2 linked regions of the Stegostoma tigrinum genome follow. The protein of the gene in region 2 interacts with the protein of the main gene of each other region in a biochemical or structural test. Links are inferred from orthologs where the notes say so. Each region holds a gene or a part of one and is shown on either strand. Other genes may lie near its edges. The genes, in order: adrb1 and magi3a.

Region 1 (16,480 bases), on a different chromosome or scaffold from region 2:
GCACCACATAAATCTTTGTGACAATGTGGTAGTTTCATAAAAGAATCCCATTACTTTGTTCATGTGATAGCTTTTCCTTGATGATCAATTTTCTGTGAAAGCAGGGTCTGTACTGTTACTGGATTCAGATGTCTGCTGTTAGGAAAATCTTTATGGTGCACTGGCTTATTTGGTTGTGATGGACTGACTGAAGTTTTTTTTATTCATTAATGGGATGAGGGAGTTACTAGCTGGGCCAGCATTTGTTGCCCAGAGGGTAGTTGGGAGTCACCACATTGCTATGGATCTGGAGTCGCATGTGGGCCAGACCAGATATAGATGGCAGTTTCCTTTCGTAAAGTATTAGTGAACCACATGGGGTTTTTTGACAATCGGCAGTGGATAATAGTCATCATTTGACTCCTAATTTCAGATTTTTTAAAAGAAAATTGAATTTAAATGACACCATTTGCCATGGTGAAATTCGAACCCAGAACCACAGAACCTTACCTGGGGACCTGGGAGTGATCCCTGTTGTGCCATTGGACATTAAAGCAAGCTGCAAGGTTAGGCATTCACCATGATGTCCCTGTTCTGGCACTAACTATTGAGTCAAAGTCTCGGAGCTCTCTCTCTTATTGTTACTGGGAAGCAGGTGTACCACATGGACTGCAGCACTTCGAGAAAACTGTTCACTGCCACCTTCTTGAAGGCAATTAGAAAGTGCCAGAAAAGGCCATTGTTAGAAGAAGGAATTTAAAAACCATTCATAGTCACAGTAGGAGGAGCTTGCAGCCTTCTTAAAGGTAGTGTGATTTTACCCCCAAAGTTATATTTATGCTTGTTTTCTAAAAATAGTGTTACCCTGTGCCTACCTACCCTAAATTAGCTTCTACATTTTTATTCTTATTTTCATTTTAAAGTAGTAGTACATTTTTATGGAGTCATTGAGGCATACAGCATGGAAACAGACCTTTCGGTCCAACCAATCCATGCCAGTCATAATCCCAAACTAAACTAGTCCCACCAGCTTACTCCTGGTTCACAGCCCTACTCATTTATCCACCCAAACATCTTTTTAAGAGTTGTGATTGCACCTGCATCCACCACTTCATCAGGAAGGTTCATTCCACATGCAAAGCACCCTCTGTGGGAAAAAAAATTGCCTCATCGTTTTCAAATCTCTCTCCTCTCACCTTAAAAATGTGCCCCCGAGTTTTGAAATTCGTCAATTTATGGAAAAGACAACAACCATCAACTTTATCTGCACCACTCATTATTTTATAACCTTCTATCAGGTTACACTCTGGTGGAAGCAATCCCAGCCTATCCAGCCTTTTCTTAGAATTCAAATCTTACACACTTGGCAACCATCAAATCTCCAGAACCCTCCCCAGCTTGGTAAGATCCTTCCTCTAAATGGGCAACTAGAACTGGACACAGTACTCCAGAAGAGGCCTCACCAATGTCCTGTACAACACTCCAACTCCTATACTCAAAGGTCTGAGCAATGAAGGTGAGTGTGGCTAATGCCTCATTAACCATCCTGGCTATATGTGAAGCATACATTAAAGAATTATGTACCTGTACCCTAGATCTCTCTGTTCTACAACACTGCCATTGATTGCATAAGTTATTTCCTTGTTTGTTGTACTAAAATGCAATACCTTGCATTTATTCAGACTAAGCTCCATCTGGCCTTTTCAACCCATTGACCCATTTGCTCAAGATTCCTTTATAATCTTAGAAAATCTTCTTCATTGTCTACAATGCCACCAATTTTGGTGTCATCTGCAAACTTACTAACCGTACCTTCTATAGTCACGTCAAAATCATTTATATAAATGGCAAACAAAAGAGGACCCAGAAGCAATCCCTCTGGAACACCGTTGGTCACAGGCCTCCAGTCCAAAAAGCAACCCTGCACCATTACTGATAATGGGAACTGCAAATGCTGGAGAATCCAAGATAACAAGGTGTGAAGCTGGATGAACATAGCAGGCCAAGCAGCATCTCAGGAGCACAAAAGCTGACATTTCGGGCCTAGACCCTTAACGTCAGCTTTTGTGCTCCTGAGATGCTGCTTGGCCTGCTGTGTTCATCCAGCTTCACACTTTGTTATCATCCACCATTACTGTCTGTTTCCTGCCGTTAAGCCAATTATGTATCTAATTGGCAAGCTCACCCCAAATCCTATGTAACCCAACTACTAATTAGTCTGTCATGTGGAACCTTGTCAAAGACTCAAGTCCAAGCAAATAATGTCTACTGCTCTGCCATCATCAACCTTTTTTGGTAACTTCCTCCAAAAACTCAAGTTTGTGAGACATGGTTTTCCTTGCAGACAACCATGCTGATGGTCTCTAATCAGCTTTTGCCGTTCTAAATGTCCATAATTCCTAGCTTTTATAATCATCTTCAACAGTTGACCCACAGCCAAAGTCAGACTCATAGGTCCACAATTCGCCGGTTTCTCTTTATAATCGTTCTTAAACAAAGGTACAACGTTAGCCATCCTCCAGTCATCGGGCACTTTGCCTTTCCACAAGGGGCCTCGTAATTTCCTCGCTTACTTCCCACAACATTCTACGACACATTTGATCAGGTCCTGGAGATTTATCCACTTTTATATTCTCTAAGACCTCCCGAACATCCTCTTCTGTAATATGAACTGTTTTGAAAACATCAAAGTTTATTTCTCTGCGTTCTCCAGACCCCGTTTCCTTCTCCACAGTAAGAACTGTCTAATGGTGGTTCAATGATGTATGAGTTCAGAATAGTGTCAGCGATGTGGTTTCCATTCCTGCTCCTGCCTCCTTATCTTGCCAACCACCCCCCTCCTCGCCCAGAGCAAGGATAAACCACTGCTGACAAAAACTGCCAGGCCACAGTGGCTAGAATAAGGCTTCGGCAACCAATGAGCCAAGAAACTGCCTGGGGCAGAGTACACGGGCGATAGAATTGAATTGGTTCCTGCAGAAGCTCGTTGCAGCGCTGATGGTAGCGTTACCCGCTCCTCAGGAGCTCTGTTCGAAAATGCCTGTGTCAAATTGTTGATGGAACTACAAGGGGGGCGGTACAGCAACGCGAGGCGGCTTGGGAGTCACTTTTATAATCTGCTTTACATCCAATGCTAAACTGAGGCACTTCTGTAACCCTTTTAGTTTTCGATCTTTTCAAATATTGCATTACATCACACGCAAGTCAAAATGGAAAATTCTAAACTATTTTACTATTAAACTAAATTCTAAATTCTAAAGGGGAAAAAAGAACTGGCGTGCCGTTTTCGAAGTGGACTTTTGGAATATTTTGTCATCTCTTAACTTTTAAAACAATTTTCCTGACTCGTGGGAAATGCGGCTCTTCTATCTGCGTTTTGCCACTGTTGAGCTGTGATGGGAGGTTGGTGTATCCAATTGGCAAGCTCACCCTGAATCCTATGTGACCCAACTACTAATTAGTCTGTCATGTGGAACCTTTCCCAGTTCATTTTGCTGCTGTTTGTTCATTAATCAGTTAGGAATGTTAACGCTGCCAAACAAGCAATAAATTTTAGCGGTCGCGGAAAGCAATATTAGTACATATCCTCACAGTTGTTCTGACTCAATCTTTCTGAAAAATAAAACAGCATGACAGATATTCCAAGATAATAAAATGTGAGGCTGGATGAACACAGCAGGCCAATTCCAGCGTTTTCATTGAATCCCTACAGCGCTGAAACAGGCCATTCAGTCTAGCAGATCCACACCGTCCCTCCGAATAGCATCCCACTCTTACCCCATTTCTAACCCACCCAACCTAAATATCCGTAGGTACTATCCCATAGCCAGTCTACTTTGGGACTGTGGCAGGAAACCGGAGCAAACCGACGCAGACACGGGGAGAATGTGCAGGCTTCGAGAGTGGAATCGAACCCGGATCCCTGGCGCTGAGGCAGCGGTGCTAACTTCTGAACCACCATGCCTCCCTTTTTGCACCATCTCCAGCTGAGTGGGTGATCCATCGTGGTTTCCTACTGAGTTACTAATGCCAGTCTTCTGCCAATTTAAATTCACTCTCAATGATAGAAAAAGGAAAACAAAATAGCGCGGAAGGGGGCTGTTGTGGTGCTGTGGTAACGTTCTATCTCTGAGCTAGGAAGCCAAACGTGTATCATTACAGCTTTGAACAGATTGATTAGAAAATAAATAAATTAGCGTAAGATCGAGCTATGAACCGTCCCTGATGAACTTGACGAGTGTAACGCAGTTTTGGTAATAATATGTAAGCCAGACTACTGGTTTCAACGTCGGTTAAACGTGGGCATTCCGAATGTAACCTGAAGCCGGCAATAACCTGGTCTTATTTTATCTCCAGCGAGACCAAAAACATGCTGTGACATTTGTAAGGAATTATATCAGGCTGGAGGTAGGCATTGGTTAAAACTTGTACACCATTTCTTTCACTCGAATAACCTGCTGCTTTTTGCATTTATGTACATTGCAAACTTAAATGATACTAGAAATTAAAACACCCACAGAAACAAATTACGTGCACTGAATAATAGTTCTTGGGAACAGGCCTGTGATGTGAATGACAGTAGAAGCGCGAGCAAGCACTGCTATCAACCTTTTGGAGTAAGTTATATAAATGTACACGTGTAATGTTAAATGATGTTTATTGCACATATACCAAATATCCACACATTTTATTGAGCCACATTTTATATAAATATGTGCGAGAAAGCAGACTTTGTGACAAATACATCACACAGCTGAACGTGAATTTCATATCGAGTGGGTGGGGAAACGCTTTTTTGGCTTATCAGGCAAACATTGCAGTACATCACCATTCGACACGAGTACCCTTTTCTGCACTCCGATGCTTCATTTTCGAAAGCTTACCCGGAGTTTTATGTTTACTTGGTTCTATCCATACTAAGATGCGCTGTAAAATATTCACCAATGTTAACAACGTGCCGCACATAATCTTCGTACTGAGAAATACCAACTTTCCACACTTAGGAAAGTGCAGGTGAAGTTGGTCCTGTGTGGAATTTAAATTAATTAAATAAGTAACTGACCCCTATTCATTCAACTTTTCTACTGGTCAACTCTGAGGTTGCGTGTCGCTTTGTCTATTTTTAAATATATAAAATGCGATTTGTTTAATATAAACAATGGTTGATATAAATAGATCTGTACACAATCTGTACAGCTGGAGGTAGTGTTATTCAAAACACAGTCTTACAGTGAGAGAGAGCGGTTTCACGAAATTGGCAGCAACACCTGGATCCATGTCTTGCTCCGAATGTCCACTCCTATACGAGGCGTCGGTCACTGACAGATCATTGACCAGCTGTTAGAAAATCTGAAATATTTTGTTTTAGACGGTGGACCTTTGTTTATTCAAATTGTTTTAAAATGAAACTTGTGGTTTCTCTTTAACATAATCCAAAACGTTGAAAATAATAACACAATGACCTTAACGACCCGTTATTTTGGGGACACGGCGATTGTTCATGTAACCGAGAGCTCCTCTTTAATCCACGTTGGAAATTGCCTCTGACCATGGAATGTGATTTAAGCGGGACACACCATTCTTGTTGCAAAACGGTGGGCTGCTGTTTCGTCCGATGAAAGTCAGCGCATCCTGGCAAAGCGTGTCCGCTGCTACAGTCTAGGATCGCTCCGAATCCAAACCTTAGTGTTAATCTACGTTGGCCTTCCGTTCTCCAGAATTGCGGGGAACGATCGCTTGCGGCAGGAATCCACCGCGGAGTTGGTCTGTGCTGGGTTTCAATGCCTGTTTCCTACAATACTGAGTGGGTGTGGGACCGCTCGCCCGCACTCACTGCTCTGTCTTCAACGCTTTTTTTTGTCTTCTCCACGGAACCTGAACGTTTCTGTCTGAGAAGCTGGACTTGCTGCCCGCACTCCACCCGCGCTAGAACTGGGACTCCTGGTCGTCAGGGTTCTCGCCCATGTGCCTGTCCAAACCGCCCCCGTTCGGCTCCTGGCTCCTGTTCCATTCTGACCATGTCTCCAGGCTCCTCGGGTCCAGAGTGTTGCCGAACACGCCCGAACACCGGGAGAACTCCCCGGAGCCCGTGCACAGCCTGTTACTGTCTGTCTGGCCGGGGCAGAACAGTAACCTCTTAAAGGCGGCTCGGAAGTCTGGACTCTTGCAGTAAATGATGGGGTTGAAAGCTGAGTTGACATAGCCGAGCCAGTTGAAAAACAGAAAGAGTTTGCCGGGCACGATGTCAGTCCGGAAAGCCTTCGCCACATTGGCTAGAAAAAAGGGTAACCAGCACAGGGTGAATGTTCCCATAATAATCCCCAGAGTCTTCAACGCCTTGTGGTCCTTAATGGCTATAATCTTGGAGGGTCTCCTGCGAGCTGACCTGCCGTTTGGGATGAAGTGACTGGTATAAAACCTGCCCTCGCACTTATCAATCTTCTTCATTTGCTTCTTGGCTTCTTGAAAGACGCGGGCGTAGACGAAGATCATGATGACTAAAGGCAGGTAGAAGGAGATGATGGAGGAAGCCAAGGCGTAGGCTTTATTCGTGACAAAGTCACAGCAACAGGGGTCATTGTAACAGCGGATGGCGTCGGGTTGGTCATCCCTCCACCAGTGCATCATGATGGGCAGCAGGGAGATGAGGCCAGAGATGAGCCAGACCACACACACGATGGCCCGGGCTCGGGCTTTCGTCAGTAAGCTCTGGTAGCGGAACGGGGAAGTGATCGCCACGTAGCGGTCGATGGCGATCACACACAAAGTTTCGATGCTCGCCGTCACACACAGGACATCGACCGAAGTCCAGATTTCACAGAAAACCGAGCCGTACAACCAGTTACCTCGCACGACCAAGGTCGCCCCGAAAGGCACCACCAACAAGCCCATAATCAGATCTGCACAGGCCAGAGACACAATAAAAACATTGGTTAGCGTCTGCAGCCGCTGGTTCCTGGCGATGGCAAAAACCACCAAGAGGTTTCCGAGGACAATGATCAGGACGATGCTGGCCATTACTGTGCCCATCCCTATCACCCACTGCTCAGAGAACTCTTGCTGAGGCACGTGTGGACTTACCCCGTTTGCAGGATTAACAAAGAGGATGGTGCTGGATTTGTTAGTGTGACAATCCTCAGAGGACAGGCGGTCTCCCATTGTGTAGAGTGCCGCTGACCGAGCCAGGAGATCACGTCGCTTTCATCGGAGATTGTCCCCGCAGATGCTGTGTGTGGTGCTGTCCTCCTTCATCCTCTGGCTGTGGCGGCACCAACAACCTGTAGCTGGGGGGTCAGAGCAGCACAGCGCCCTCCCCTTTCACGTCGCACACAGAGTTCCTCCAATGAGCCTCTTCCTGACGCCACATCTCCAACTTCCATTTAGAGAGCATTAACTTCAATGAGGGTGCCCTGAGTGCAAGTTAAGGGAGAGAGGAAAAAGATAACTTTTTTCCCCCAATCAGTTATCTCTGGTATATATTTTAAAGCAGCTTCTGAAATCCTGGCGAAAATACCTGAACTTTACAGAAACACGAGACTGGACTAATCACAATGTTCATTTCCAAACGTTTACCCCACTGGGTCTTTCCTTTTTTATTTAGTTTTGAATTCACGTGGATTAATGTGCTGACAACCACTCGGGGAGTGACGGTAAGTCCCTGTAAATATTTTTGGGGGGCCAGGAATAGACTGTGCTGCTAGCTCGAATTTCAGTAGCAGTGGAAGAGGTCCCGCCCAGTTCCATATCAGAACTGTTTGAGAAGATTATCTGCAGTTCAGAGAACGTACACCCTGCTGTGGATTTAGAACTCGGAATGGATCCTGAGGTCGCTGACTGTTCACAAGTTGCTAGTCCCTCATTCTGCTTTCTCACTCAAACTAAAACTACACTTCAGACCTTAAGCCATTTAACAGGAGGATTATCTTATCACAAGAAAGTAAATAACCAAAAGGAATTAGGTCCACGAAGCCCATTCTATTCAATATACCATGTTCAATTTACACTTTTATGTACATTTTTATTTAAGTATCTAATAAAATGTTAATAGAATTCCCGAAACTTTATAAAACTATGAAACTTACTTTAAACCCTGAGAATGAACAAGTGAAAGATTATTTTCTTATTGATAGCGTCCGATTTTCAACCCTGACCAATCGTATACCGCAAAATGCATTTCTGTGACAGAGACCACATCACTTATTCCTGAGAGTGACAGAATCAATCAGAACTGAAGGGGTCTATTGGAGTCTGTGCCAGGTCTTTAAAAGAACTGGACTGGTATTCCTCAGCGTTCGTCAACTTTTACTACTGAAGTATTCATCCAGTTTTTTTAAAGTGGTTGTTTGACATTGCATTAAACATTTTTGATGGCTTATTCTGTTGAAAGGGACAATATCTTCTGTTCCTCTGACTTACCCTGCAACCCTGCCAATTCTGCATTCGTACTCTCATTCTCTAATTACTTCAAATACGTAATTCACTTACATCTTTGCTATTAATCTTTTGATGGGGGCAAGTATGCTTCCAATATTTTTGGAATGAGAACTAATTTAGTTCTGGTTCTTTGCTTTTGGCGTGTTTAGATTTCCAGAAAGAAATGCTATATTGCCCTTCTCCAAACAGCCTTAGCTCACTCAAATTTCACTGCACCAAAATGTTGCACAATATTCCAAGTAAAAGTACCAGACTACAATGCAGGATAACAAAAAAAGGTTTTACTTTTTATTCAAGTACATTGACATGTGTCCCAGAGCCTTTTAAAAACTTTTATGTATTGACCTGGCTACTTTTGTTAATTGGCTAACAGTCCCATCCAAATATTTTTTGTTTTTGGTATTTCCAATGAAGCTCATCTGTTTTATCAAAATTGTCCCTGGCCAAAGATGAGTCAGAATATTCCAATGGCTATTGACTGGGTGACCAGAGTAGTAGAAATTTAAGATGCACGGTTAGACAGATGAAAAAAGGATGGTGGAAATAAAACAAATATTCACACACTGCCCGTAATATTTGCTGAAACGTTCTACAAATTACTTCACAAGTGGAAAGTTGTTTGGAAAAGTGGTGTAAGGAGGAATAAGAAATAAGGCATCTCAAGTAGAGAAAAATGCTGATCTAGATACTCGGACAGAATGGTCTTTTATTTTGTAGTGACATTACAGAAGGAATACCCATTAAGTTTCATCAACAGTCATGCATTCCCTTTCAAAACTTCCGATATCTTTCGAACAATTCTGGAGTCCATATTTGAATCAATTAAAACCTAATTAAAGTGAGTCCCTTTGAAAAAGAATGACAAGAAGAAAAATACCTGAAATAAAATAACACTTGAAAATGAAAAATAGTTTCCCAGTTACTTTTTTCAGATGTATCATGTTTATAGGCCAATGACATTCTGGTTGAGAAACTAACAGTTAATCATGGGATCATGTAAAAACTTTTAAAAGTTACTTCATAGTTAAGATGTCATTTCTCTGCCCCTGCATAATGCATAGATGCCATTGAACTCTCATCAAATTTCTCCAATATTGATCACTTTAACATCTAGTTTTGTGTTATCAGTAAATTATGTACTAATCGGAAAATGCTCCACATCATTTGTAAATACAGCAGGGGAGCCAGTATAAATCTGCAAGGTGTTGTTATTGGAGCTCAGTCCGGATTTGTCTATGTGTCATTATTTCTTCATTTTACCAAGAAGCCAATTTCAGCTTGCAGTTAATTCAATGTCAATTCATCTTCCATTGCAGCCTATGAAACAAAATGTCATTATGTTGCATAATGGCAGGACAAAAACATTGTTTGCACCAGAAAGGAATCCACTAATGATTTCAGAACTGTCTAAGGTATGGTGTGCTGAGTACTCTTTTATCCTCCATGTTCTTGAAATTATGTTTTATACAGTAGTGACTTAAATCGACAATCCCTTTCAATAACGCTCATTCTCACCTCTCAGAACAAGAGATTTTGCAGCTGGTCAACAAAAGCTCTGATCAGAAACTGAAATGCTTGACTCATCTATGACTCAACACATGATACAGAACTCTTGCAAGCTTTTGTTTTCACTTTTATAGCACTAGATGTTTATTCTAGTTCTGTTTTATGATGTTTGTCTTGTTCAAGTTACTAAACACAACTTATTAATGTTATCCATGTTTGCAGTCATCTAAATACTTTATTCATGTCAATGTTAACTGTAATTGCAAGGATAACACAATACCTTTTAAGCCCTATATTTTGAATTCCAATCATATCTTTCACAGGCAATAATTGACACATCTTAATTGTATGGTAATCTCATTAGAATTTAAAAATATAAAAATAAATAAACAGTTCTGGAAATATTTCACTGCCTCCCATACCTGCCTGTTAACTCATTCCATGCTGTGCTGCCTCCTTATCCCAGCTCATTTAACATAAGAAAGAGGTGTGAGATATCTATTTTTATTGTGTCAGTGAACCTGTTGACTACTGTTGAGTTCTGTATCATTTACAGATTGAATTGTACATTGCCGTTTTCTCCTGTTTATTTTTTTGCGCTTAATTTTCTGGTTCAGGTCATCCATGCAGATAGCAACTGCAATAGAGTAGATCAGGGTATATATTAGATCTTTCCTTTTCCAATCATGAATTTTTTTTCTCAAATTCTACTGTATATTTAGAAGTTTGAATATGTACTGATAATTGAACAATTGCAAAATGACAACTTTTGAATTAGGTGATCTTAAAATTTTTTTTGATATTTCTGACTCTTGTGCAGTATACACTGGGATTGAATACCATATTTTCTTTCTAAATGTCTTAAATAATTTAAACTGATAATGTATTAATCAAACTATTTTGGACCATATATATCCTATTGTTTTCAATATTTTTTCCCTGAATTCTGATGACTGTAATAATTTTGTACCATATTTTTAAAACTGTTGTTTTAAAATAATCTATTTGAGGCACTCTAAATAACATTGAGGAAACTCAGAGCTTTGCACCTGTATTGATCTATGGCAAATAAAGTTCAATAGAGAAAAATGTCATTTACTAAAAAGAAACAAACTAGCCAAAGTGGGAATTTAAAGAGATCAAGAGATTTTAATTATTTAGACATTCACATAAACTGTGGAATGTAGTATTGTTCAAGAACAACATTATATGCCAAATTATCTTGAGTTTAAATCTGCAGAGACAATCAGAATAATTTCTTTATTTTGAAATTGATCAGAATTGAAAGAGTCAACCAAGGCAGGAAGCATATTTAAGGCTGGCCACTGGAATTATTTAAAAAAGGACAACGTGAAAGCATGTCATGGGACATTGGTAAGTTTGATATTTCAAAGGAGAAGATCAAATAAGTGGAATAGAATTCCTCATCTGAATGTATGTGGGAAATATTTTCTAACATGTTTAATTTAAACTTGTATTCTTGGTACATATTGTTTATTCTTCAAAAACACAGAATTGTTTATAAAGCAGTTTAGGACAACATGAGATTATCAAAATCAATTTATATGTTATTTGCATATAGATAATTGCAAGTCTTCTTTTTCTACTGAATTGTGAATGTCCTAGTTATGGGTCAGATGATAGATGTTGTCACTCATTTGAAATTATAATTAAAACATTATAATTAAAATATTTTCTCCAAAATGCATATTTAAAAGAGATTATATAAAAATCGTCCACTCGTATTTATATTTGTATGACAATTCTTGCCGGACAATGTAATCAGTAAATTCAGAGGTGGTGAACAGCATTTGCTTTGGAGGATGATACCTGTCTGTGTTTCTTCAGTTGTGTCGAATGATAATATATGAAATGGTTAATTTGAGATAATTGTAATTTATGCAGAATTGTCCCAGTGTTGCCAGTGATAAGGAAACAGAAACATTCCTTTCTGCTAGCTAAATGTAAAGTAAGTTAATACAGCCACTGAAATGCATTTGGAGGTAAGTATAGGGCAGCATGGTGGCTCAGCGATTAGCACTGCTGCTTCACAGCACCAGGGACCCAGTTTATATTCCATCTTCAGGCGACTGTCTGTATGGACTCTGCACGTTCTCCCTGTGTCTGTGTGGGTGCCTGTGTCAGAGGGGCTGCTCCAGTTTCCTCCCACAGTCCAAAGATGTGCAGATTAGGTGGATTGGCCGAGCTAAATTGCCCATAGTGTCCAGGGATGTGCAGGCTAGGTGGGTTATCCATTGGAAATGCAGGGGTACAGGGAAAGGGCAGGGAAGTGGGTCTGCGTGGGATGTTCTTTGGATATTTGGTGTGGGCCAAATGGCATGCTTCCACATTGTCGGGATTCTATGCTTCTGTATACTGAAAAAATGACTTGTAAGGAGGTCTGTAATTGTACCAGAGAATAGGAAGAACAAGTACAACTGATGTGTTGGGAATCACAGTACCATTTACCTAAACATTGTGTGACCCTTAACAATCTTACTAAGCATGCGTCATAATGAAGAGTGGAAACAAAGTTAGAACTTGCTGAAAAACTCAGCAGGTCTGGCAACTTCTGTGGCGAAAAAGCATAGTTAATGTTTTGGGTCCAGTGAACCTTCTTCAGAATTGACACTTGCTGTTTTCTGAAGAAGGGTCCCGACCCAAAACGTCAACTTCCCTGCTCCTCTGATGCTGTCTCGCCTGCTGTGTTCCTTGAACTCCATATGTTGTTATCTCTGACTCCAGCACCTGCAGTTCTTACTATCTCTGCTGTTACTTGCTGACCAATGCTGAAGAATTGTTACTGGACTCCAAAGCTTAACTTTGCTTTCTCTCCACAAATGCTGCCAGACCAGCTAGGTTTTTCCAACAATTTTTGATTTTTGTTTCTGATTTCCAGAATCTGCGGTTCTTTTGTTTTATCTTCTTAAATGAGAGCAGGAACGTCTGCTACTTCCAGCAGTGGAAAACAGGATGGGGTAAGGTAACGTAGCTGGGCAAGGAGACAAAAATAACATTCCCGCCAACAGGATGAAAGTCAGCATTTACAGTTTTACAATTTTAAAGGCAGGTTCAGCTTCTTGAAGGCAAGTGTCAGGGAGCCTTTTGTGTGTCTAGCATGCTTATTAACAGGCGAGCTCAACAGAATTAACTTGTCCTTCTCAAATAAGTTTTAAGAGTGAACTTTACGTATCTTCAGATTCATGGCTGTGGAAGTAGCATGCAGAAGGTGTCATTTTTGTGACCTTTAGTGTGAATCACATCTTCTTTCACTTATGCCATGCCTTGGCAGTCAATGTTACAGAGGGTCACTAGATGATGACCAGGGGAGGGTGGAGGCTGGAGCGGAATGGGTGTTGGTTAAGGACACTGACCAAGCTCAGAAGGCTGACTGGAGAAGTGTGAAAGAGTCAATGTTTAGCTGCAGACTGAGAACCCAAGTGATGTTCCTGGCTTGTAGGGTGTGAATGCCCTTCCAGGTGCCTTTCAAAAATGACACCAAGGTCTTCAACCATATAATGTAATGGCAGGGGCGTTGACGTGCTGCCTGCCTCACAGCAAGGTTATCCACGCTTCTCACACAACAACATGCACTGCACTGACAGCAGCATAATCATGAAACGGTCCTGAGAGGAAATCATGTTTTCTTTAGTGCTGGTCTGGCAGCATCTTTGGAGGGAATGCGGAGTTAACTTTTGGAGTCCAGTAACGATTCTTCAGAACTGGTCAGCAAGCAACAGCAGAGATAGTAAGAACTAATATTTCAGAATGGAAGATTCTACCTATGATGTCAAAATGCAAAAGAGTCTGACAAAATTTATGTCTAAACTTGCATCAAAGTTCCTACTAATATTTAATATTTTATTGGAGTAATGATGTTGTCCAACAAGTAGTGTGTGTTATTTTTCTTTTGTCTATTAAATTGTAAAATATGAAAATGTTTGCGACTTTTAAATTACTCAGATATTGATTAATATAAACAATCTATTTCAAAGACCTGGACATTGTAATGTCTGTAAGACTTTTGGCATTTTTCATCATCACTTTCTGAGTACAGGAGCAGGGATGTGTTGTTGCATTTGTACAGGGCCTTGGTGAGATCACACCTGGAATATTGCGTGCAGTTTTAGTCTCCTTTTCTGAGGAAGGTTGCGCTTGCTCTTGAGGGAGTGCAGCGAAGGTTTACTAGGCCGATTCCAGGGATGACGGGTCTGACATACAAAGCGAGATTGACGAGGGTTGGATAACAAAGTGTGGAGCTCGATGAACACAGCAGGCCAAGCAGCATCTCAGGAGCACAAAAGCTGATGCTTCGGGCCTAGACCCTTCATCAGAGAGCTGATGAAGGGTCTAGGCCCGAAGCATCAGCTTTTGTGCTCCTGAGATGCTGCTTGGCCTGCTGTGTTCATCTAGCTCCACACTTTGTTATCTTGGATTCTTCAGTATCTGCAGTTCCCGTTATCATTGACTAGGGTGGGGATTGTTTTTGCTAGAGCGCAGACGAATGAGGAGGGATCTCATAGAGACGTATAAAATTCTAACAGGGCTGGACAGAGTAGCTGCAGAGAGGATATTCTTGATGGTGGGTGTGTCCAGAACCAGTGGTCACAGTATGAAGATTTGGGGTAGACCATTTAGGAGGGAGATGAGGAGACATTTCTTCATGCAAAGAGTGGTGAGCCTGTGGAATTCATTACCACAGGAAGTAGTTGTTGCCAAAACATTGAATGTATTCGAGAGGTGACTAGATATAACACTTGGGGAGAACGGGGTCAAAGGTTATGGGGAGAAAGCAGGATTAGGCTACTGAGTTGGACAATCAGCCATGATTGTGAAGAATGGCAAAGCAGGCTCGAAGGGCTGAATGGCCTCCTCCTGATCCTATCTTCTATGCTTCTGTGTAACTAAAATCACGTCTTTGTTAAACCTGGAAATCTCAAAATTGCTGTAGCAATTCTTCTTTTCTCCTGTAATGTCATTATTTTTTTAAAAAACAAGAAGTTACATTTTGTTGATGAAATGTAACTGAGGGCTGAATCTTAACAGAATTTGGCCACACGTAATTCTGGTTGAGTTTCATGGAAAGTTTATCTCTGCAAGACCAGAATTTTCTCTCACAGCCATCCCAAATTCACCTCATCAACTCGGCACCATACCTCAGTGATGCCCTGCTCATCTGATAACCAGCCGGTTTCACCCATTTACCGTAGGCAGAAGTCGAGGTCTTAGAGGGTAGTCCTTGTCTTCCAGTAACTATCCTTGTAAGGCATCCAGCTCTTGACACAAAGCATGGACAGGAGAGTTCTCAAGGACATAGGCATCAGGGCATCTGCTGCAAATACTTTTAGGACGTGGCAGTAATGGACACAGATGACTTGCAAATTAATGTATTGGCCTCTTTTTACTGATAACTCAGTGCACCATCTCAATGTGATGTGTGTTCAGTTTATTGCACCTTACCCCAGTGACAAACCAAAGCCTGCAGCTTGGGCTTACAGCACTAATCTCACTGTGGGGAAATGAGATTGAATAATGTGATCTGGCATCAAAGGCATCAGTAACAACGTTGCTACATTTGTGGGTGGATCACTGAGAAATCCCACATAGGGTCCAGGTGGATCATCAGAAGCAGTCAGTCGCATAGAAGTTTAGTATATCTGTCACCTTGACAACCATTGAAGTGGGCTGGTCATCCACCATTTCCCACCCCACGTCTTGCTCTAGCAGTGGTAATGCCTCTGGATACCCACAGTCTGCACATCTGTAGGAAATAGCAGACTGAACGCTATTTTCTGGGCATCGTGTACACCCTGCAAATCCTGAGGGGACCTTCAGATGCACCCTCTCCTTGTGGAGGCTATTTGGCAGATGCTGGATGTTGCTGATGATCCTGGGTTTGTTGATGGATCTATTTCTCTTCAATTTCTTTACACTTTTAATGCTCCATAGCAACAGTGACAATAACACCCTCTGTAGCCAGATCTATCTTGCAATGAACCTGTGTGAGGAATATCTAGAACAGAACAGGCCCTTAGTGAGCAGTCAGCATTTACATCTCACACAAATAATGGTTTACCAAACTCATCCACGCAGTGTGACATGAACTACTCTGACAAGGAGGGCCACAGAATGCTTCTATGTGGTATTTTGACATTGCAAATCATACAGCACAGAATCAGACCCTTACGTCTAACTCGCCCATGCCAACCAGGTATCCCAAACTTCATTAGTCCCATTTGCCTGCATTAGGTCCATATCCCTCTTTTGTTTTCATATGCCTGTCCAATTGCCTTTTAAATGTTATAACTATACCTGCCTCTATCATTTCCTCTGGCAGGTCATTCCATGTACGCACCAACTCTGCATGAAAAAGTTCGGTCCTTTTTAAATCTTTCACCTCTCACTGTAAGCCTATGCCCTCTAGTTTTGGACTCACCTACCCTGGGGAAAAGATCTTGGCCATTCATTATCATGGCCCTCATTATTTTTTAAGCATCTATTAGGTCTCCCCTCCAGGGAAAGTACCCCCAGCCTATTCAGCCTTTCCCTATATCTCAAACCC
Region 2 (16,533 bases):
CTGTTGTTGGATCAAATCCTGGAATTCCCTTCCTGGCAGCGTTGTATATGTCCCCACATTCCGAAAACTGCAGTGGCTTATGAAGATAGCTTACCACTACTTTCTCCAGGACACGTAGGGATAGGCAATACATGTTGGCACTGGCAGCAACACCCACATCCCATGACTGAGTAAAAGAAACAAAAACATGACCAATTTGTATGCAAAATTTTGCAAATAGTCTAGTTATCACAGTGCTATCTGTTTAAACAATGGTGTTCAAGTGACAATACTTGACAGACACTTTCCCTGTTCCTCAAATTGTACTTTATGGATGTTGAAGGTCTCACAGCAATATAAATATTTTCTAATCAGCCTGTTGATAGATGTATTACACCTCGAGAGTAGGTGGAAATTGAACTCAGGCCTCCTGGCACAGAGGTCAGGACACTACCAATGCATCTCAACAGCCCTCAGCCGATAGAAATATAGACCTCACCCAAATGACGACACCTCCAAATGCACAATTTAAAAACTCCTGATACAGAAACAGACGACAGCTCTGCAAACAAGTAACATACTCTGGGACAGCCAACAGATTTACAATTATTTAAAAAATCTAATGTTCTGAGGGAATACTTAACATATGCTGAAAGTTTAACATCAAACAAGTCTCAGAAGCACACTGAACACCCAAGTGGATCAATTAGGGACCCGAGTAGTAATACAACTCCACACCCAAATAAGAATACCTGAGTTTCAAAGCAAGAAAGACCAGGATTCAATGAATTCACCTTCAACCATCCTGGTAGGCACATGAAACAACACGAGTTTGCTGACAGAACATGACCACTGCAATTAGTCAATGAGTCTACAACAGATCCAAATACAAGGCAAAGAAAATAACAGAAGATAGCTTTGGAAACAACTGTGCAAATTCACCCACTCTTTCAGTGCATTTCACTCAAACATCTTAAATTACTCAGTACAGATCTCAAAACGTTTTTTGAAAAAATCTTTGGAATCTATATTTTAAGTGAACCTGAATCAATTGATTATTGTCTCCCCAGGAAGCTATAATAGAACAATCATTCGTCCACTTAAATCACACAACCAATGGCTGCCCGATTCATACTGAATTTTCCCCATTTTAAGTGGAGGTACTGTGCCCTGGTTCTATTGTTCTAGCCAAGGTGAACAAGTTAGGTATGGAGGAAATTACCCAGTCCCTTCAGAATGCAAAACAACAATCTCATCATCTCTCAACATTCACGTCTGCAATGAGAATCTACATGAACATTCGAATTTATTCTCATTCCTCACTAAGTCTCCTGACAGATAGCAGAATCATACATTGATCCCATCATCTGCTCAATGGACAAAACCAATATTATCAAACCATTGGCCATCAGTTTACTACAGTGATGAATGGACAAAAGAGGTTTGTTCCCTACGTCCTTGTTCTCTCCCACCTCTATTCGCGTACTCCGGTGGGTGGGGGTATGGGGGTGGTGAGACATGTGAGAACAAATGTAACGAACTTCATGTCCTCAATGTGGATATAGAAGACAAAACAGGGCTCTCCCACCCAGACAGGAGAATGAAAACTGGGAATAATCCCTTTACAGCAGAGATGAGACAGCCAAACGACAGGCTGACAGAACCGCTTATTTCAAAGAGCTGTCTGACCTCAGGGGAAGATTGTCCAAAGACTAAGGTGATTTTTGGTAATGCTTATTACACACTGAAAAATCTAATTCTGTTTAAAGGTAAAACGTACACAAATGGTCTACATTGCACTGGCTGGAGATTAGCAGGTTCTTAACCAGAAGCAGAGATTTCCACTGCTTGAGTACACATTTACCCTATCATAAACAAAAACAAATTTGTTTCTGATTTCCAACATCTTGTCTGCTTTTTTTCTTAAACCCCATTGTCACAAGTTTTGCTGTAAAACAAACCAGAGTCAATGCTATAGCCCATCCATACCAAATACATAGAATTTTAACTTAGTATCCTAGTTAAAGGGCCATTTCCTGGTTACCATTTTTAAAAAGAAAATTGAAACTTGGATAATAGTTGATAACACACATCTGCCTAAGTATTGAGACAAGAAACTATCTTATCTTAATTGCTCATGGGACAAGATTACTAGCATGTATGGCACATAACTGCCCCTGAACTGAATTTGCTGAGGGACTGAAGTCACATGCAGATCAGATTGGGTAAGAATTGCAGATTTCTTTCCCTGCGGGTCATTAATGAAGCAGATGAGCTATTAGTATGTCAACAATAGTTTCATTGTCGCCATTCCAGAGTCTAGCTTTCAATTCTAGACTTATTAATGAAATCCAAATTCTACCAGACACCGTTATGGGATCGGAACTTATGCTGCCATTAGCCTGGGCCACTGGATTAAAAGTCTAGCAACATTGCCAATACACCTTCATCTCTCCCCCCTTGTAATATATAATTTCATTACTATATCATTTAATTCACTTTTCAGCATAAGACAAAGAATGTATTCTAGGGAGATTTTTTTCCTATTATTCCTGCATGGTCTTTCTGCAGAAAAGTACTGATCCTGCATCCAGCAGTTGACCATAGCAGATTGGTTGAGCTAAGACATGGTGAATTAAATCACTTCCACAAACTCAGTGCGACATCTCAGTATGTCAATCAACACTCGCTCATTGGTACAGTAGCAACCACAAGCAAGATAAAACATTTGTTCGATACATTGTTTAAGTACATAACCACTCAAATCTTTCTAACCATACATGTCAGTCTGTGTCTCCTCCCAGATCACTTGTTCACAATCCCTAGTGAACAGACTGACTTAGGGGTGCAAACTAACTCTAAACAAAAACAGAAATCGCTGGAGAAACGCAGCGGGTCTGGCAGCATCCATGGAGAGAAAGCAGAGTTAATGCTTTGGGTCCTGTGGCCAGAAGACAGTCCTGAACAGCCAGTGGACCCAAAATGTTAACTCTGCCAGACTTGCTGAGTTCTTCCATCAATTTCTGTTTGTGTTTTGGATATCCAGCGCGCGCAGTTTGTAGTTTTATCATTACAAAATCTTTTCTGTTTACTTCCCTTATTTGCTTCTCCCACTTTCTCTTCCATGTAGAGATCCTGTTATTTCAAATTCCTAGTAAACAATTTCCGATATTTCTTGCAGTGCTGTCTCCAAGATTTCATAGTCTTCCCCAGTTTATTCTCTTCCCACTCAGTCTTCAGTGTCTCATTGCTGCCTAGACCCTCTGCATTCCTTCATTCCCATTCACTTTTCCTCAAAAGCATTCTAACCAGTTAGCACTGCACGCTTCCTTTGACAACTATATATCATTCCATAATCAGTTCTCTCAGCCCTTCTCACCATGCTCCCTCTATCAAAACTCTAATCCCCAAAACCCCCACTATCTTTAAATCTCCCATCCAAACTCCCCCACTTTACACAGCCCTGTGCAAACCCCAACCCTCACTCAGCTTGAACACTAACTCCCCCCACCTCCAATTTCCCCACACACACTACCCTTCCCCACTCACCAGCCACCACAGCTGGTCCACTCCACTTAACACATCTCCTCCTTCAACCCCAAACCCACCCACTCTCCTTTTACTTCAACCTCACTACTCCATTCTCCCTCATTCCCCTCCCCAATCTAGCCCAACTTCACTTCTCCAATCCTTCTCACTACCCTACTCCAACCTCTGCTCCTCACCCCAGTCACTCACTCCCCAACTCCTCACTCCCATCAGCCCACTCCCTTGCCCCATCACCTCTCTCCTCCGTCACTGCCAGCCTTTCCCCTCACCTCCCTTCCCAACCCCCATTATTCCCTAAACTCCCTCCCCCTCCCTCCCACTCAACCCTACACCTCCATCCCCTCACCCCCCACATTCACCCAGCCCAACATTTTCCCCATGTCTAAGCCCACGCCCCCTCACCCCTTCACTACCCACCCCCGTGCCCGGCCCCCCCCCTCACCCCTTCACTACCCACCCCCGTGCCCGGCCCCCCCCCTCACCCATTCACTACCCACCCCCGTGCCCGGCCCCCCCCTCACCCATTCACTACCCACCCCCGTGCCCGGCCCCCCCCTCACCCCTTCACTACCCACCCCCGTGCCCGGCCCCCCCCTCACCCCTTCACTACCCACCCCCGTGCCCGGCCCCCCCCTCACCCCTTCACTACCCACCCCCGTGCCCGGCCCCCCCCCTCACCCCTTCACTACCCACCCCCGTGCCCGGCCCCCCCCCTCACCCCTTCACTACCCACCCCCGTGCCCGGCCCCCCCCCTCACCCCTTCACTACCCACCCCCGTGCCCGGCCCCCCCCCTCACCCCTTCACTACCCACCCCCGTGCCCGGCCCCCCCCCTCACCCCTTCACTACCCACCCCCGTGCCCGGCCCCCCCCCTCACCCCTTCACTACCCACCCCCGTGCCCGGCCCCCCCCCTCACCCCTTCACTACCCACCCCCGTGCCCGGCCCCCCCCCTCACCCCTTCACTACCCACCCCCGTGCCCGGCCCCCCCCTCACCCCTTCACTACCCACCCCCGTGCCCGGCCCCCCCCCTCACCCCTTCACTACCCACCCCCGTGCCCGGCCCCCCCCCTCACCCCTTCACTACCCACCCCCGTGCCCGGCCCCCCCCCTCACCCCTTCACTACCCACCCCCGTGCCCGGCCCCCCCCCTCACCCCTTCACTACCCACCCCCGTGCCCGGCCCCCCCCTCAACCCTTCACTACCCACCCCCGTGCCCGGCCCCCCCCTCACCCCTTCACTACCCCCCCTCACCCCTTCACTACCCACCCCCGTGCCCGGCCCCCCCCTCACCCCTTCACTACCCGCCCCCACCCCTTCACTACCCACCCCCGTGCCCGGCCCCCCCTTCACTACCCGCCCCCACCCCTCACCCCTTCACTACCCGCCCCCACCCCTCACCCCTTCACTACCCACCCCCGTGCCCGGCCCCCCCCTCACCCCTTCACTACCCGCCCCCACCCCTCACCCCTTCACTACCCACCCCCGTGCCCGGCCCCCCCTTCACTACCCACCCCGTGCCCGGCCCCCCCCTCACCCATTCACTACCCACCCCCGTGCCCAGCTCCCCCCTCACCCCTTCACTACCCACACCCGTGCCCGGCCCCCCCCTCACCCCTTCACTACCCACACCCGTGCCCGGCCCCCCCCTCACCCATTCACTACCCACCCCCGTGCCCGGCCCCCCCCTCACCCATTCACTACCCACCCCCGTGCCCGGCCCCCCCCTCACCCCTTCACTACCCACCCCCGTGCCCGGCCCCCCCCTCACCCCTTCACTACCCACCCCCGTGCCCGGCCCCCCCCTCACCCCTTCACTACCCACCCCCGTGCCCGGCCCCCCCCTCACCCATTCACTACCCACCCCCGTGCCCGGCCCCCCCCTCCACTACCCACTCCCGCGCCCGGCCCCCCCCTCCACTACCCACTCCCGCGCCCGGCCCCCCCCTCACTCTCCCGCCTCCCCTCACCCCTTCACTACCCACCCCCGCGCCCAGCCCCCCCCTCACGCCTTCACTACCCACCCCCGTGCCCAGCCCCCCCCACCCCTTCACTACCCGCCCCCCTCCCCTTCACTACCCACCCCCGTGCCCAGCCCCCCCTCCCCTTCACTACCCACCCCCGTGCCCAGCCCCCCCACCCCCTCACTACCCACCCCCGTGCCCACCCCCTCACTACCCACCCCCCCCACCCCTTCACTACCCACCCCCGTGCCCAGCTCCCCTCACTGTCCCGCCTCCCCTCACCCCTTCACTACACCCTGCCCCGTGCCCGCCCCCCCCTCACTCTCCCGCCTCCCCGGCCCACCCCTCACCTGGCCTCACTGTCCGCACTCGGACGGGCTGAGCGAAGTGCCTGATGACGGCCCGGACATCGCGGCGGGTCAGGCCGCTAACCGGGGTCCCGTTGACCTCGAGCAGGATGTCTCCGGGCCCAGGGCTAGGGCCGGTCTCGGAGCCGCTGAGCGGCGATGCCAGCACCGGGAACTGGCCAAACTCGGCCCCGCCGCCCAGCGACAGCGCGTCTCCGGGAACGGCCACCTCCTGGGTCCGGCTCAGCCAGTGCCGCCGCCGGCGGAGAGACTTCGACATTGCGGGGGTGGGGCTGGGCCGGCCTGGCCGTGCCCCAGCCTCCCCTGTGCCGGGTCTGCCGGTGTCTGTCCGCCGGGGTCAGTTTGTGTGTGTTTTGGGGGGGGGGGGGGGGGGGGCGCTCCCGCTCCGGGCTCCTGTCACTGACCGCGGGGCCCGACCACCACAGCCGCTGCTGCTGCCTGCGTCATTGCGTCACTGCGTCCGCTCGCCACCGCGACGTCAGGCAAAGGGGCGGGACACGCCTTGACCAATCAGAGCCCGCTTCCCCCCCCCGACCTGCCCACCCGCCCCCTTTCGACACCGCCCCCGAATGCCGGCCCCGCCCATAGACCTATCCATGCCCTACTCTTGCCGTCACTTTTATTCCTCGACCCAGTTACTGCCCATTGACCAGGGTGTGTGGTCACTGCCCGTTGACTAGGGTGTGGGGTCACCTCCCATTGACCAGGGTGTGTGGTCACTGCCCGTTGACTAGGGTGTGGGGTCACCTCCCATTGACCAGGGTGTGGGGTCACTGCCCGTTGACTAGGGTGTGGGGTCACCTCCCATTGACCAGGGTGTGGGGTCACTGCCCATTGACCAGGGAGTGTGGTCACTGCCCGTTGACTAGGGTGTGGGGTCACCTCCCATTGACCAGGGTGTGGGGTCACTGCCCGTTGACCAGGGATCGGGGGCGTAAGTGCCCATTGATCAGTGAATAGGGTTATCAGTGCCTATGGACCAAGGATGGGATCATTGTCCACTGACCAGAGCATGGGTCAGTGCCCTTTGAACACGGAGAAGAATCACTGCCATTAAGACTATAAGATATCAGAGCAGAATTAAGCCATCCTGCCCATCGATAATAGCTGATATGTTTCTCAACCCCATCCTTCTGCCTTCTCTCCTCAATCCTTCAGCTCCTTACTTACCATGAATCTATCTGTCTCTGTTTCAAGTACACTCAATGTCTTGGCTTCTACAGCATTCTATGGCAATGAATTCTACAGATTCACCACCCTCTGATAGAGGAGTTTCCACCTCATCTCAGTTCTAAAGGGTCATCCCTCCACTCTGAGGTTGTGCCCTCAGATTCTAGTCTCCCCTCCTGGTGGAAACAACTTCTCCAGGTCCAGTCTATCCAGGCCTCTTAGTATTCTGTAAGTTTCAATGATATGCCTTCTCATTCTCCTAAACTCCATTGGATAAATCAATCATGAAATGATCTGAGACCCACGTGCTAAAAGTTGTGTGTGTAGAGTATGTTACCCATTTCAGTCTCAGTTTTTATAACACTTGCCTATCACACTTTCAGCATCATTTCTTTTCCAACAGTCCTGACCTATCACATGATAAAAACAGTGGCAAAGCTGTGAGTAATTAATCAAAAGTCTTCCATGTAATACAGGCTGTCTGTAAGAATGCAATTCACATTAACATCCAGAGAACTATAGAACATGGTGAAGAACAGATGGATAGAAGATGTAAAGAGATATCAAAAATGATTACAATTATACAAACAAAAAATGCATTAAAAATACACAACGAATTTATAATGCATCTGTGATCTACAAACACAACAAAAGGTGCTTTATGGGAGTATTAGTAAACACAATACAAAACTGAGTCAACTAATCAATTTTGGGTTAAATGAGCAAAAGCTAGGTTGAAAGGGTTAATATTAAGAACTGTCATTAAAAAAAGAAGCAAATTAGTGAACCAAAGCAATTAATTGATTGACTTTATTCTCATGTGTACCAAAATGCAGTGAAATCTGAAAAATCTGGGATGTACAACATTCCTGTACTGGAGGAGTACTGAAATCTCAGAGGGTCTGGGATGGCAGATGACAGAGATAGGGAGGGGTGAGACTGTGGAGGGACTTGAAAAACAATGAGGCTTTTAAAATCACTGTGTTGTTCAACAGAGACCTGGTATAAATTGGTGATGGCAGAGTTCAGGCTGAATGGGACTGAGTTAAGTCAAAAACTTCTGTGCAGCTGAATTTTGAAAGACAGAAATTTTACAGAGGGTGGGACAAAGCAGTGCCATCAAATAGTCAAATCTGGAGGTAACAAAGGTGAGCTTTGGGATTTCAGCAGGAGAGTTGGGAGACGTTGTAGTATTGGAAATTGACAGAAATGAAATACAGAAATATGTGTAATATGTAATGGTGTCATAGTAAACAGCCACTCGCTAATAAGATTGGGTGTCCACTTCAGAAATTCTATGTCACTGCTCATGAGTTCTGTGGTTCCTTGTGTGGCTAACAAACCCAATCCTAGAGCCACTTCTCTGTCCACACATTTAGCAGCTGTTTCCTGGAGGTGAACCTGGTTCTTGGCCTGGAGATCATTGGCATTCCATTCTCCCATTACTTTTCCATATTTCTTCTTGACGACTGGTGTTCTCAAAGACTTGTGGCCCTTCGTACAGGAGCTTCATCCAGGTCAATTTCTTTTGAACGTGTGTCTCCTATGCATTGAAATCGATGTTGCATTTCTTGAGGGAGGCCTTCAGGGAGTCTTTGAAGCATTTCCTTTATCCCCCTTTCATTTGAGTGCCTTCCTTAGGCTGGGTGAAGATGATTGCTTTGGTAGTTGGAATTTAGGCATCCAAATACATGGATGGCCAATGCAGAGTTTGTTTCAGATGATCATGACATCAATGCTGGTATTTTTGCCTCCTCTAAGGGCACTAATATTAGTTTGTCAGTGCTCCCTGCTGATGTAGGGAATCCATTTCCAGCAACACTGATGGTACTTCTCCAGGGGTTTGAGGTGGTGTCTTCATATTTTCCAAGTTTCAGAGCCCTACAGAAGGTCAGAAGGATAACTGCCTAATTTCATAATGATCTTGGTGTAGGCACAGATATCATAGTCATTGAAGACTCTGATCCTTAGGCATCCAAAGAGAGCAGTCACAGATAGGATGCATTGTTGAATTCCCACATCAATGTCGACCTTAGATGACAGCTGGCTTTTCAGGCAGGAGAAATATTCCATGTTTGGGAGGAATTCTCCATTGATCTTAGTAGAGGGATGGACCAGAATTTGACCTGAGAAGAGTTGTTAAGGGATTTGAGGTTGACGTTGAGATCCAATTCCTCCATGTAATATGTAATGGTATACATAACACATAGAAATACATCTAACACTCATCAATGTTTGCCAGGGTTATTTAATGGTTAGGTTGTGCCAAATGCTGCAATCACATTTATTCTTAGTGACCTTAGTCCGCATCAATAAACATTTGCCTTATTCTAATAACTTTATACCCCTTCAAAACTGATTGTCCATCTGAGTGTGGTGACATCACACTAGGCTGCATTCAGCTTGTTATTGACACAAGTTTATACAACGAGACAGGGGAACAAGAACGCTGACCATAGCCTGCACTACACCCAATAAACAACAACACTCAGCCATCAGTTTGAATTGATGCAGTTTTTAATATTTATGTTCAAAATGCAGGAAATCATAGATTACAGAAACACATAATGAGACTGCAGGAACAGGTGTATGAGCTTTGATAGCACTAAGCACAAAGCTTGGGTTAATAATTACTGAACGGCACAAAGTTTAAACTGAACAGGTTGTTCCCTATTGCACTCTATTGCTTTATGTTTAGATTTGCACTCCTTGATCCAGTGTTACAAATGCGTCTAAACAACTATTGTCGTTTGGAAACTGAACGAGCAACTTCACCCAAGTTGTTGTGTGTTCTGTTGTTGGCGACGGTTTCAATGATTTATTTCACTCAGGTGAGGCAGGCAGCTTACAACTGACTGCATTGTAAAAATCCGCACACACTTGCATCGAGATCAACCATTAGGACATAAACGTTACATAGTGTTTCAATGCAGTACAACGGTGCAGTGTGTAAATACAGACTGTGACAGTGCATTGTGACAACGCAGCACATCAACGTAGCGTTGCTGTAAACTATGAAAATGTACTATCTCAGTGCAATGAAACAATGCAGTGTGTTAAAACCATACAACAGAGTGACAATGCAGTGTGAAGTGTAGTCTGTTAGTCCAGAGAGACAATGCAGTGCAACTGGGGTGTGACAAGACAGTGTGTCAGAGCAGTGTGACAGGGTAGTGTGAACTGCTCTGTGATAGTGACAATGAAGCACTCCATGTTGGTGTGACAATGCAGTGTGCCACTGTAATATAACAATGTAGTTTGACAGAATGGTATGTCAGAGCATCATGACAGGAACACTGCAGTTCAGAGGAGATTCACAAGATTAATTCTACAGATGAGTGGTTTGTCTTATGAAGAGACATTGAGCAGTTAAGGTCTATACTCTCTTGAATTCAGAAGAATGAAAGGAGATCACTTAAGGTAGCTGATACACTAAAGGGGATTGATAAAGTAGACATACAGCACATGTTTTCTCACGTGGGATAATCTAGAACGAGAGGTCACAGTTTTTGAATGAGGGGTAGTAGAATTTAAAATAGAGATGAAGAAAAATTACGTCTCTTAAAGGGTCATGAATCTGTGGGATTCACTCCTCCGGAATGCAGTGGATGCTGGGACATTGAGTAAATTTAAGAAAGAAGTAGAGAGATTATTAATTCCAAAACCTTAGAGATTATTCATTAGCAAGGGGGTGAAGGGTTAAGGAGAGCAAGCAGGAAAGCAGAGTTGAGGCCGAGATGAGATCAGCTATGATTGTTCTAAATGGTGGAGCAGACTCGAGGGGCTGAATGGCCGACTCCTGCTCCTTGATCTTATATCCTTATGACAAAGCACCATGTCTGTGTAGTGTCTCAGTGCAATGTGACACTGCAGTGTCAATGCTTTGATTGATTGAGGATTAATGTAAACTCAGCATACTGTAAAGAGCTCTTCTTCAAATAATGGTCACGGAATTATCACCATGTAAAGGGCAGACCAGCCTTCCCATTTCCCATCAGCTCAGAGAGAGCAGCACTTCCTTCCTCAGCACCTCACATAGGAATGCTGATCAACACTGGCTGGCTTCACATGAAAAGTGGAAATACTTGACTCAGTTTTTTAATGAGAGCTGGCTACAGACTCCGTTCCACAGAATACTGCTCACTGACTGGGAGGTAGTTGGTCTGTCATTGGAACCTCTGTCCAGCTGGTCAGTTTCCAGCTTTCAAATGCAACCCAGTCATCATCCATCTGCTGCTTCCAGCATTCCTGCTATATCCTGGAGCACACTTGAGTGAACTCGACACTCCCAACTCTGGCTGCTGATCCTGGATTTAGTCTCTAATAGTGCCTGTCATTTTGTCCTGGATTCCACATAGGCCACAGCTGGGGAGCTGGGGTGGGGCTTATAGGAAAGATGTTGTTAAACTGGAAGGGGTGCAGAAAAGATTTAGAAGGAGGTTATTGAGACTGGTGGGTTTGAGTTATAAGGTGAGACTGGATAAGCTGGGATTTTTTTCACCAGAGAGTTGGGGGATGAGGGGTGAAATTATAGAGGTTTATAAAATCATGAGGTGGGGGAGGCATAGATATGGTGAATAGCCAAGGTCTTTTCTCTAGAGTAGGGGAGAAAAAGAAAAGGTTCTCGAATCGGAGAAAAAGAAAAAGAAGAAGAAGGTTCTCGAATCGAAACGTCAAACTTTTCTGCCTCTCTGATGCTGCTTGGCCTGCTGTGTTCATCCAGCTTCACACCGTGTTATCTCAGATTCTCCAGCATCGGCAGTTCCTACTATCTCTGCAAATAATTGTGGCCAGTTTAGTTTGCGAACAAGGTCGGTATGGACTATTTGGACTGAAGGGTTGGTTTCCATGCTGTATATCTCTATGGCTTTGTGATGCTATAACTGGGAGCTAATGGTTCAGAGGGAGGGACGCTACCTGCTGCTTCTTGTGTCAGTGGCTGTATGCACAAATCTGGGCAATCAGGGGTGATTACTAGGGAGGTTTATGATAAATTGCATCCCCTTCAGGGAATTTAACATTTAAAATTCTTCCGTCACATGTTGGAGTAAAATAGGAACCTATCCAACCATTACTTTTATGAAGCAGATGATATGAAAAAACGTTGAAATATTCCTGTGATTTTCACGGCCCATTGCCAAGCAGGTGACTATTCTGCAGTCCTAAATTGTTTAAAGTTTAAATAACAAAGTTTAAAATTCTCTATTGCCAGGCCTCCTGTATTTCCTCATGGGATGTGGGCGTCGTTAGCTGGGCCAGCATTTATTGCCCATTCCTTGACCTGAGTATCTCACCCAACCATTTCACTGCCAAACATATTGCTGTGGGCCTGGAGTTATGTGTAGGGCAGCCAGGTTAACAATGACAGATTTCACTTTTTATCTCTGAGAGTGCAGCTCCTCCTTGCTCAGTACAGGATTCAGATCCAGATGAAGTTTTGATAACATTCAGCCAAATCTAATTCCAATTTTTATTGAGTTCAAATTTCAACATTTGCTGTGGCAGGACTCAAACCCAGAACATTAGCTGGGTCTCTCTGAACGAATAGCATTGTGACATTACCACTACACCACAGCTTCCCTTCATAACCATGGTGACACAGCTTTTTCACCTTAGGGAGACGCCAATCCTTGTTCCAATGCTGGTTCAGGGGCTTTCTCATAGTTGGCAGTGAAGGATCAGCCACAGATAAATATCAGAATAATAGGACCTTATCTTAGATAACCAGATAGAACTTATTTGAAACTATATATATAATCCTTGAAAGTTGCCACCCAGGTTGACAGGGCTGTTAAGAAGGCATACGGTGTTTTAGCTTTTATTAATAGAGGGATCGAGTTCCAGACCCAAGAGGTTATGGTGAAGCTGTACAAAACTCTAGTGCGGCCGCACTTGGAGTATTGTGTACAGTTCTGGTCACGGCATTATAAGAAGGATGTGGAAGCTTTGGAAAGGGTGCAGAGGAGATTTACTAGGACGTCGCCTGGTATGGAGGGAAGGTCTTACGAGGAAAGGCTGAGGGACTTGAGGCTGTTTTCATTAGAGAGAAGAAGGTTGAGAGGTGACTTAATTGGAACATATAAAATAATCAGAGGGTTAGATAGGTTGGATAGGGAGAGCCTTTTTCCTAGGATGGTGACGGCGAGCACAAGGGGGCATAGCTTTAAATTGAGGGGTGAAAGATATCGGACAGATGTCAGAGGTAGTTTCTTTACTCAGAGAGTAGTAAGGGAATGGAACGCTTTGTCTGCAACGATAGTAGATTCGCCAACTTTGGGCACATTTAAGTCGTCATTGGACAAGCATATGGACGTACATGGAATAGTGTAGGTTAGATGGGCTTGAGATCGGTATGACAGGTCCGCACAACATCGAGGGCCGAAGGGCCTGTACTGTGCTGTAATGTTCTATCTATTCTATCTATCTATACAGGTTACATTACATTGATCATTGAATCTTTAATGTGCAGAAACAGGCCATACAGCCCATTAAGTCCTAACCAATCCTCTGAAGTGCATCCCACCCAAACCACTCCCTCTAAATCCCTGTTGCTCTACATTTCCAATGACTAACTCACCTAGCCTACACATCCCTGGGCACTATAGGGCAGTTTACCATGGCCAATTCACCTAACCCACACATCTTTGGGCTGTGGGAGTAAACTGGAGCACCCAGAGGAAACCCACACAGACACAGAGAACATGCAAAGCCCGTGCAGGCAGTTACCCAACACTCGAATTGAACCCAGGTTTCTGGTGCTATGACGCAGCGGTGCTAACCACCGAGCCACTACGCCATCCACAATGATAACATAGAATAGTTACAGCACAGAAAGAGTCCATTCAGCCCAGCTGAATAAACCAACCACCCATTCTAGGGAAGGTGCTGGCCTAGTGGTATTATCACCAGATTATTAATCCAGAGACTCGAATGATGTTCTGGGGACTGCACTTGAATCACCGCCATGGCAGATGGTAGAATTTGAATTCCATAAAAACCTGGAATTAAGAGTCTAATGATGGTCATGAAACTGTTGTTGATGGGGATGGGATGGAGAGCCAACCAGCTGGTTCCCTAATGTCCTTTAGTGTTGGCAACTGCTGGCCTACATGTGACTCCAGACCCACAGACATGTGTTTGCCTTCTGGGAAATTAGGGACTGGCGATTTATGCTAACGCAACCAGCAACACCCACATCCTGCAAAAAAAATCCCCAAAAATTCCTACGTTCCAGCCCCTGGTCTGGGAGCCTTGTTGGTTCCAGTAGGTTCAGGGACCGTGCAGGCTCCTTTTTAATGAGTTGAGGGCTTCCATCTCAATCACCAAACCGTGCAACAAATTCCAGACACTCTCTGCCCTCTGGATAAAGCAGATTTTTCTCATGTTCCCCTTTAAACCTTCTACCGACAAACACGAGGTATTGAATGTAGCTCATGTCTCTCTGAATAATCGCAAAGGCACCTCAGGAGTTTCAGACAATCTGTCCAGTTGTGTATTTCATACACCAGTTGGTGGAGCTTCAACATAGCTCCGACGCTAACACTTTCACAGCCATGACCTTACTCAGCCTGTTCTCAAAACCTCCCTTAACAAAACTTGGCAGCTAACAATGCCCTGACTCCGTGAAGCATCTCCATCACTGGGGAAGCACACAGCTGGACGTCCATAGGCCACGTTTTCTGGAATCTGGGGATCCCAGGAACTCCTTCGCTGCAAGGTGTGTTGTTCAGAAATCTTCACAAGGGTAGAGAAGGATTAAGAGTCAAATATGAAACCGTGGAATATACCTCATTTTCACTTTAAAATGTATTCAGGATTCAGTTGCACCTTTGTGATGGTTGGCTGTGTATCTCCTTGACTGTAAGAAACCCAAGACAGAACAAATTTGAATGTTTTCCTTGCAATCACTATGTAACTGCACCACAACTAAATGTTGACTTTACAGTAATGTCTGATTACGTTTAGTTTACTTGTAGACCCGGGGCTAATTATAAGCCCCTTCTCCCCGTCATTGTATGGATGCCACCCCTTATAAAGACTGAACAAGTCACTGGATTCATCTGGTCTTGAAATGCACCCACAGGGAACCTCGCTTCCTCTTCCAATTCATATTTAACATACTTGCTTTCTCTCCACCTCAATATCCCACTCTTCCAGCAGGAAACTGGGAAAGCCACCAGTGGGGCAGCACATTGGGTAATCTCTCTGTCTCCTGAGGTAAGGGTGTAGAGTTACCAGCCTTGATGGGACTTGTACCTGGAGCTGACCTATGACCTCCAAACATCCCAACAACTTATTTACAAAGTGGCTGATGTGAGTATGGAATGAAGTGCCAGAAGAAGTGGTAGATGCAGGTACATGGATAGGAAATGTTTGGAGGGACATTGACCAAAAGCAGGCAAATGGGATAGTTCAGCTGAGGAAACTTGGTCAGGATGGATGAATTAGACCAATGGGTTTATTTCCATGCTGTATGATTCTATGACTCTAACTGACTTACTCATCTCCTTCCACCCCACCAGAACTAAGCAGAAAGCAGGCACATTTGATGATCTTTCACGGCCAGTCAAACAGGCTTTCTTTCAAATTTGCAATATTTTTAAAAATTCATTCATGGAATGTGGACCAGCATTTCTCACCCATCCCTAGTTGCCCCTTGAGCTGCAGTTCAAGTTGTGTAGTTAGACACGCAATGACCTTAGGGAGGGAGTCCCAGAACTTTGACCCAATGACACTGAAGGGACGGCAATATATTTCCAAGTCATTCAAATGCGGGAAATAGGAGCAGGACTGGGCCATTTGGCACATTGAGCTTGCTGCATCATTCATTATTATCATGACTGAGCATCCAACTCAGATCCCTGCTCCTGCTTTCTCCACATACTTATTGATCCCTTTAGCCCAAAGAACTACATCTAACTCCTGGGAGAAAAACAGAAGTTGCTGGAAAAGCTCCAGCAGGTCTGGCCGCAACCATAAAGAAAAAAAATCAGAGTTAACGTTTTGGGTCTGGTTCCTCAGAACTGAGGAAGGGTCACCAGACCCGAAATGTTAACTCTGATTTTTTTCAAAAAGTTGAGCTTTTCCACCAACTTCTGTTTTTTGTTCATGATTAACAGCATCTGCAGTCTCCGGATTATATTGAACCAGTCTTCAGCCAATTCAATTCACTCCACGTGATATCAAGAAACGGTTGGAGACACAGGATACTGCAAAGGCTACAGCCCCTGACAACATGTGGCAATTGTACCAAAGGCTTGTGCTCCGGAACTTGCCACTCCCCGAGCCAAGCTGTTCCAGTACAGTTACAACACTGCTATCTGCCCAACAAAATGGGAAGTTGCCCAGGTATGTCCTGTACATAAAAAGCAGGACAAATCCAACCCGGCCAATTACTGCCCCATCAATCTCCTCTCAATCATCAGTAAAGTGATGGAAGGTGTCAGTAACGGCGCTATCAAGCAGCAGCTGCTCAGCAATAACCTGCTCAGTGATGCCCAG

The links.
Region 1: the proteins of magi3a (region 2) and adrb1 interact in a test that uses a peptide from one of them, tested with the Homo sapiens proteins (2 studies listed by IntAct, with this or other methods). The link is inferred for Stegostoma tigrinum from reciprocal best matches to the Homo sapiens genes MAGI3 and ADRB1.

Annotation. Positions count from the first base shown.
Region 1 is NC_081373.1:23,471,532-23,488,011, forward strand, and holds adrb1 (beta-1 adrenergic receptor), read right to left. Parts: upstream 7,609-16,480; 5' UTR 7,138-7,608; coding exon 5,905-7,137; 3' UTR 4,647-5,904; downstream 1-4,646. UniProt on the Homo sapiens protein: Beta-adrenergic receptors mediate the catecholamine-induced activation of adenylate cyclase through the action of G proteins. This receptor binds epinephrine and norepinephrine with approximately equal affinity.
Region 2 is NC_081374.1:3,665,983-3,682,515, forward strand, and holds the start of magi3a (membrane-associated guanylate kinase, WW and PDZ domain-containing protein 3a), read right to left. Parts: upstream 6,213-16,533; 5' UTR 6,122-6,212; coding exon 5,845-6,121; intron 1-5,844.